2 linked regions of the Cricetulus griseus genome follow. The protein of the gene in region 1 interacts with the protein of each later gene in a pairwise test. Links are inferred from orthologs where the notes say so. Each region holds a gene or a part of one and is shown in the gene's direction. Other genes may lie near its edges.

Region 1 (2,891 bases):
TGACTCAGGTTAAGAGAGCTTGCTGCCATTTCAGAGAACCCAAGTTCAATTCCCAGCACCCATTACAACCTCCTGTAACTCCAGTCCTGGGGCATCTGACGCCCTCTTCTGTCCTCCTCACACACCCATACACGTGCATTCACACACACACACACACACACACACACACATCCATATTCACATAAATAATAAAATATTTTAAAATATGTAATATATATGCGCATATATTTTGGCCATGCCATTTCCTGGAAATAATTCTATTCTAAGGGTTCTGCTCCTAAGCTAATGTAATTTTATTTTAGTCATCAACATGCATATAAAGGTTTTTACATAAAAATGTTCATCGCATGGCTAAGGACAGTTCTATTGCTGCTGCCCAGCCCATTACCCCTTGTAATATATTCAGAAGTCAGCTTTTCTCCCACAAAATATTGTTCCTCATAGAATTATGTATAAGGGAGAAATTTGGTCCTAAGGAGAACATTGAGCTGGCCTTGCTCTCACAGGTTGAGACATAGCCACATGGAGAATATTGGACAGACACATAAATCATCTTCTCTGAATTTTGGAAAATCTTCTAATTTTGGAAAATGCTTACAACATAATGTTGACAGAGACGGCAATGCAACACCCACCCCATCTATTTCCACACAGTCTTAGTTAGGGTTTCTATTGCTGTGATGAAACACTGTGGCCAAAAAGCAAGTTGAAAAGGAAAGGGTTTATTCGGTTTACACTTTCACATCACACAGTTCAGCATCAAAGAGAGTTAAGACAGGAATTCAAACATGTCAGGAACCTGGAGGCAGGAGCTGACACAAACCATGGAGGGGTACTGCTTACTGGCTTGCTTCTCATGGCTTGTTCTGCCTGCTGTTTTTTGTTTTTTGTTTTTTTTTTATAGAACCCAGGACCACCAGATCAGGGGTGGCCCCACCTATTATGGGCTGAGCGCTCCTCCATCAGTCACTAATGAAGAAAATGCTCTATAGGCTTGCCTACAGCCCCAACTTTTTCTTCTCCCCAGAGCTGAAGACCTAACCCAGGGCCTTGCACTTATTAAGCAAGTGCTCTACCACTAAGCCAAATCCCCTACAACCCAGTCTTATGGAGGCATTTTCTTAATTGAGGTTCCCTCCTCTCAGATGACTTCAGCATCCGGCACATAGACATAAAATAGAAACAACACAAAAAAGAACATCACAGACATTAGCAAATAACTCTTTAAGACTTGGGGTAATTTTCATTTCCTCATGCACGAATTTCTAAGTATTTCCAAATGTTCCTTGATGACTTATATGCTTCATTGGGGTAAATAAAGTAGTGTTATATGTTTATCTCTGTACCTGAAGAAATTTTCCACATTTGCTGTTTCTTTGAGTCTCTACTGACTCCTGGAGGTTAGCAGGAACAGGGCTGAAGGATAAACAGGAGAGAAAACTAAATAGGTTTTCTCCTGTCATGCCTCAAACTACAGAAACTACTGGCCCCCAAGAATAGCTCTGTGGTCTGCACTTTCACAAATTGAAGCCAGAAATAATGGTGCCTTTGTCTGTTTCTTTGCATCCCAGTGTCGCCTCTACGACCTGCGGGCAGATAGAGAGGTCGCCATCTACTCCAAGGAGAGTATCATATTTGGAGCGTCAAGCGTGGACTTCTCCCTCAGTGGTAATGTTTTATTTCCGAAACTTCTCCAGGACTGTAGGACTAGACCTAAAAAGCAAACCGTCTCTCTGCCTACCTTCCCATCACCGAGCCTTCTGCAGGGCGATATGCTCAGGCCACATCTGACCTTCAGATACCCCTCCCTTCACCTCATCTGCTGGCCCTTCCCTTTGTGCTCTGAAACTCCCTGCTACCTTGCCTATAGCTGGTAGGCAGCTAGCAGAAGCCAAGCCAGCTCTGATGGGACACTCACCTGTTCTGAGTCTGCGCCTTTGCACACAAAATTGCAGCCACTTTATGACACCTCTACCCAGCTCAGCTGCTCAGCCCTCGAAAGCATGGATCACCTTGCTTTAATCTCTGTAAACTCAAGTTGAAGGTTTAATGGCAGGAGTGTTCCTGCTTCCTCTAAGGCCCAATGGAGAACCACACACACGTGAGCCTGGCATAGTGGCTCCTACCATGATGCTACAGTGATATTCCTCCCGTGCCTTTCACAGATGACAGTGACAGCTTTCTCTTGAATTGCAAAGGCAACATATATTGTCTGCCACACAGTGGGCCTAGATGAGCCTATATTTATTGGATGGATGGGTGGATGAGTGGATGGATAGATGGATGGATGGATGGATGGATGGATGGATGGATGGATGGATGGATGAGAAAGTTCATGAGTAACTAGGTGGGAAGATGAGTGGGTGGGTGGATGGATGGATGGAAAAGTTCATGAGTGACTAGGTGGGTGGGTGGGTGGGTGAGTGAGAGTGACAGTCAAGGAAGGAACAACAGAAAAATGGTGTAACCATTGTATTGTGTCTTCTGCTCCCAGGTCGCCTGCTCTTCGCTGGGTACAATGACTATACCATCAATGTCTGGGACGTTCTCAAGGGTTCCAGGGTCTCCATCCTGTTTGGACATGAAAACCGTGTCAGCACTCTTCGAGTTTCTCCCGATGGGACAGCATTCTGCTCAGGATCATGGGATCACACTCTAAGAGTAAGAGAGATGTCTCACTTTTCCTGTGTGAAAGGAGAGGAAGGACTGGTGGCCTTCCTGAGACAGGATGTCAACCAGCATTCTCATGTCTAGAACTACAGATGCCACGGGGGTGTCTCTGGGAGGTTAGGCGCTTCATCCACACAGGTGTTCAGAGAGACCAAGAGTTTCGGCATGGTGTTGAAAGAAAACTGGAGCTAGATAACCCAAATGTTTTGTTTTCCCCTAAC
Region 2 (4,557 bases), on another chromosome or scaffold:
TGCAGACCATTGTGGGTAAGTGGCAGTAAACTAAAAGGCAAAGGAGCTATTTCCTAATACCTCCTGTGCTTTTAAAAGTCGGGGTAATTCTTAGATGCCCAAGGGGTTGAGTTGGCTGGAAATTCTACAGTGACTTAAAAGGTTTTATGCAACCTATACAGAGCAGAGTTAATTACTAGAGTCTAAAAGTGAATTTTCTTTTTCTAGTCTTTGTTTTTTTTTTTTTTTTTTAATTCTTTTTGAGACAAGGTCTCAACCTATAGCCCAGGCTGGCTTGGAACTCATGATAATCCTCCCAATTCAGTCTCCCAAGTGCTGGCATTACAGATGTGACCAGGTTCTTTTTCTAGGTTTCTAATCAGAATTTAGCAGCACAGGTAGATCTAGAACTCTATGGCCCTGCCAGCCCAGACATGCTCCAGCCTTGGCTTGTGAGGTGAGAAGTCCTGTTAACACCCTGGGGTAAGGTTTCATCCTCTATCAATAATGGTTTTCCACAGAGGGTGATCCAGGAGTCCTTGGGGTAATTTTCAACCTTAACGGAGCAGTCTTCTCACCTGTAGTGGAAATGCACAGGGCTGAGGTGGCTGACAGTCGGCATGTAGGAGTAGTAGAAAGAGCCATAGAGGAACACAGACACCCAGAGCAATAGGAGGATGGTGCAGAAGAGCACCCCAAACTGCAGCAACAGCCTGCGTGCACGGCCTGCCAAGACATGGCCTACTTCCTGGGCCCACAGGAAGGCAGGTATTGGTGGGTCATTGACCATGATGGGGACAGCAGAGGATCTAGCCCCAGCTTCAGGCTTTGAATTCCTGGTTGGTCTTCCACAGGGACGATACCCTTGGCCATGGGATAGAGCAGCTGGAGGTTCCTGGAGAAAGAGGGGAAAAAATAGCTATTTTTCCCCAGGGAGCTGAGGACAATAAAGAGAGAGAGAAGGGGGAAGGGAGGGAGGGAGGGAGGGAGGGAGGGAGAGAGAGAGAGAGAGAGAGAGAGAGAGAGAGAGAGAGAGAGAACTCATGAAACTGGCTTTGAGGAACTGGAGACAGGACAAAGCAAAGTCATTGCTTCACAAGCATCCCTCCTCCAATTACTCCTTCACCTTAATCCACTGAGTTTCCTTCAGTCACCGGAGCCCGGAAAAAAAAAAAAAAACTCCTTGATACATTCACAGCATTATTCGTATACAGAATGAGAACCTTAAAACTCTCTCAAAGCGCAGACGACAAGGATCCTCAATGCCAGGAATTGCAAGATGAGAGACTTGCCTAAGGTCGAACAGCCGCCTGAGTTTCTCCCCTCCGCCTGGACCTGTGCTCGCTCACCTAGGGTGTGATCCCTACCCCGCACAGCGCCCTGCGGCCCACCTGCGGAGCGACGCGGAGAGGGCGCCCACTGCTGCGGGAACGCGGTGGACGACGCCGGCCACCGCAGCGAGGCTGGCGCCCAACTCACCAGCCCCAGGCTGCCCAAGCAACCTAGAGAGGGGAGTTCCGGCTGCCGAGAAAGCCCCGCCCCTTCTGTCATCGCCAGTTAAGCGCAGGGGAAGGGCTCGTGCAGGGGCGGGGCCCTTGCGCAGGGGGCAGGGCCTATAGGAGATGCCTCGCTCCTGTTTTGTGCTCTCCACTGTCCCTGTCGGATCATTCATCCAGTTCAGCCACCAAAAGGACAGCGCGCTCCCCATCCAGAACCCACGATAGTCCCAGGAGCAGGCTGAGACTCAGCAGTGTCCCTTTGGTCCTCCTCTAGAGGCCCTCCGCCGAAACCTTCAACACCGGCCTTTTCACCCCAGAACGGTTCCAGTGCAGGCGGGGTGGGTGGAGTGGAGGTGGTGAAAGGGGTGCTGTTTTCATTCAGCATCGCTCCTTGGGCCTGTTAGGTGTCCAAGGGGAGTGGAGGGGAAGGGCCTCATTCGCCCTGAGAACCTTGCACCCTGCCTGAGCCCGAATCTTGTGTGTTGCGCAGATGGCTTGCTGTCCCCGAGCTAGTCAAGCGTAGGAGCATTTCAGCTCCTTTCAGTGTCCAGTTTTTATGCTGCATGATCGACCTTCTGTGACCCGCGTGATGCAGCCAACTTCAGAATCCCTACAAAAACGAGACTAGGTCTCTGAACCTAGAGGCGTCTTCTAGACAGCGTCCTCCAGTGCACATCTTTTTGAATAGTAGCAGTCTATTCAAATCAGATGAAAAATTTCGAATCAATTCCCTGTCTCCCCAACTCCACCGCTTGCCACCCTACTCCCCACTCCAGGAAGCCCCTCTGGTCCATAGTATTCGCCCTAGCTCCGTACCTCCCTTACCTCCTCTTTATCTGATCCTTTTTTCATCTGGTCTTTGCATGTCTGCTTCCCCCCAGCTTCTCTTCTTTGCTGTATCATTTCTTTAGATATCTTCCTGATGGTTACCTCTGTGGCCCCTGGATCTCCCCTCTCAAGTCACTTGTGGCTAGGAAGTGCTGATCTAGAAGCTCATCACCTGTAGAGTGTCACATTTTCCTGGATCTGCAGAATGGAGGGAGGGTCACTGTGAAAGAAACGAAGATTCGGGTGCTGAGTGCTCTGTCAGAGTTGGGGGGGGGGTGCAGCAGCCCAGCTGATGTCAGATTTTCAAATGAGCAGGGTCTCCCACAGCAGTACAGATTCTGCGGCAGGGGCTGTCACAGGCAGGCCCAGACCACCCCACTTAAGAGGGGAGCCTGCTTCCTTCCGCCTCAGGTCCTTTGGGGAGGGCTCTAGTTCAGACTAAGGACTTCTACAATGGGCAGGGGCAGGTAGTGAGATACTAACAGTGGGGGTGTGCACAGGGGATGCAAAGAGCAGCCAGACCTCCCCCACTGGCCAGGCAGTTGGTACGCTCCAGAATCTGAGCAGCTCCTTCTAGCATCCTTCATCCTTCAGGTACCAGCCATCTGGACAGTGCTTGAGCTGCAGTAACTGAGACCACCCTCCCAAGGACCTTCAGTCTGCGCATTTTTGTGACCTTCTCTGCATTAGCTGTCACTGCTACAGATATTTTTAGCTGCACGTCTCTGCAGGGTGGGGCACTTACCTGAGGCAGGTTTGGTGCCCCCTCCCCACTGACCCTACATCCCAGGCTGCCGCCTGCCATTTCAGGTGAGTACAGAGCAGCCTGTTTCTCTCTCGTTAGGGCTTATGGGGCAGATGGCTGATGTGATTTCTTCAGGGTGGGGCTCGTTCTGACTGAGGCTTTCACTGCTGGAAACATATTTGGCTCAATACTGGAAATCCTTAAACCATTTGCATGGTTTGGTGACTGGGACACAGGGATTTGGAGAGATTCTTATCTCTCCTCCATTCTCCCCACTGAGAAAAAGAGATGGGATGGCCACTGGAGAGTGGAGATAATATGGGAACAATATATTGGGCACAGTCGCAGCTGTGTGGTTGTTGAAGCGCTGAGTCCTTCAGCAGAGAACTGAGATGTCTGTCTTTCCTTCAGGATGAAAGGGGAGACCCCTGTGAACAGCACTATGAGTATTGGCCAAGCACGCAAGATGGTGGAACAGCTTAAGATTGAGGCCAGCTTGTGCCGGATAAAGGTGGGTGCGACCCTGGCTCCCATTAGTTCTCCAGGCCTCAGCTGCAGGGTTTCAAACCCCTGAAAAAAGATGCTTCTTTTCTAGACACCCTGAGGCCAGAGGAGGAAACTGGGTATTGTCAGCAAAGCTGTTCCCGAGGACTGTGGGATGGGGGGAAAGGATTGTCTCAAAGGGCACTAGAAACTAAAAGACAGCCTGTTTGGCGAAGAGAACTGCAGTCCCTTTCAGGAATTCTGGCTAATGTTTCTCCTCCTGGCTGTGCCCCAGGTGTCCAAGGCAGCAGCAGACCTGATGACTTACTGTGATGCCCACGCTTGTGAGGACCCCCTCATCACTCCTGTGCCCACTTCGGAAAACCCCTTCCGGGAGAAGAAGTTCTTCTGTGCCCTCCTCTGAAGAGTTCTGTTTCTCCTCAGAACTTACCTCCCCCTCCGAGACCCGCCCTTAGATAGGAAATTGTAGCAGCGCGTCTACCCTTACCTATCATGAGATTAGTTCAAGCACAAGCCCTCCTTACCCCCAGGTCTGTCTGCCCCATCTCCTCACCCTTTGAGGCCAACTGCAAGCACCTTTTACTCCATCCAGATGGACCCCGCTAATGTGCCCGAATCCTGCCTGATTCCCTCTGTGATCCGTTCAGGCAATAGAGAGGGGGTGCCCGGGTGCCTGTCTCAGTCTCACCTGGAGCTATTGGAAGGGTAAAGGCATTTGAAGAATAAAGTCATCCAGAGCCTCAGAGGGCAGCGCCTGTGTTAGCGTTCTTGGGAAAGAGGATCCTTAGTCGATACACTTGCCATCCAGGGAACAGGGCCAGTCCAGCGGGTTAGACATGGTAAGGGCTGGAGAGTGCGGGGTATGAGGCGCGCGAGCGCCCCCAGGGGGAGGTTGTTAAAACGAGCGCACAGAAGCTGCGAGCATTCACACAGGCGCCCAACCAAAGCAGAAAGAACTACGCAGACGGAAGGGTGGGTTTCCGCGGGCACAGAGACAGCAGC

What was found.
Region 2: the proteins of Gnb5 (region 1) and Gng3 interact in a two-hybrid assay, tested with the Homo sapiens proteins (2 studies listed by BioGRID, with this or other methods). The link is inferred for Cricetulus griseus from reciprocal best matches to the Homo sapiens genes GNB5 and GNG3.

Annotation. Positions count from the first base shown.
Region 1 is NC_048597.1:186,597,001-186,599,891, forward strand, and holds part of Gnb5 (guanine nucleotide-binding protein subunit beta-5), read left to right. Parts: intron 1-1,571; coding exon 1,572-1,668; intron 1,669-2,494; coding exon 2,495-2,661; intron 2,662-2,891. UniProt on the Homo sapiens protein: Enhances GTPase-activating protein (GAP) activity of regulator of G protein signaling (RGS) proteins, such as RGS7 and RGS9, hence involved in the termination of the signaling initiated by the G protein coupled receptors (GPCRs) by accelerating the GTP hydrolysis on the G-alpha subunits, thereby promoting their inactivation.
Region 2 is NC_048596.1:51,248,010-51,252,566, forward strand, and holds Gng3 (guanine nucleotide-binding protein G(I)/G(S)/G(O) subunit gamma-3), read left to right. Parts: upstream 1-1,566; 5' UTR 1,567-1,816; intron 1,817-2,303; coding exon of another isoform or gene 2,304-2,381; exon of another isoform or gene 2,382-2,526; intron 2,527-2,900; 5' UTR 2,901-3,116; intron 3,117-3,462; 5' UTR 3,463-3,463; coding exon 3,464-3,562; intron 3,563-3,829; coding exon 3,830-3,958; 3' UTR 3,959-4,298; downstream 4,299-4,557. Other genes in the region: Bscl2 (seipin), read right to left, coding at 558-874, 2,304-2,381. UniProt on the Homo sapiens protein: Guanine nucleotide-binding proteins (G proteins) are involved as a modulator or transducer in various transmembrane signaling systems.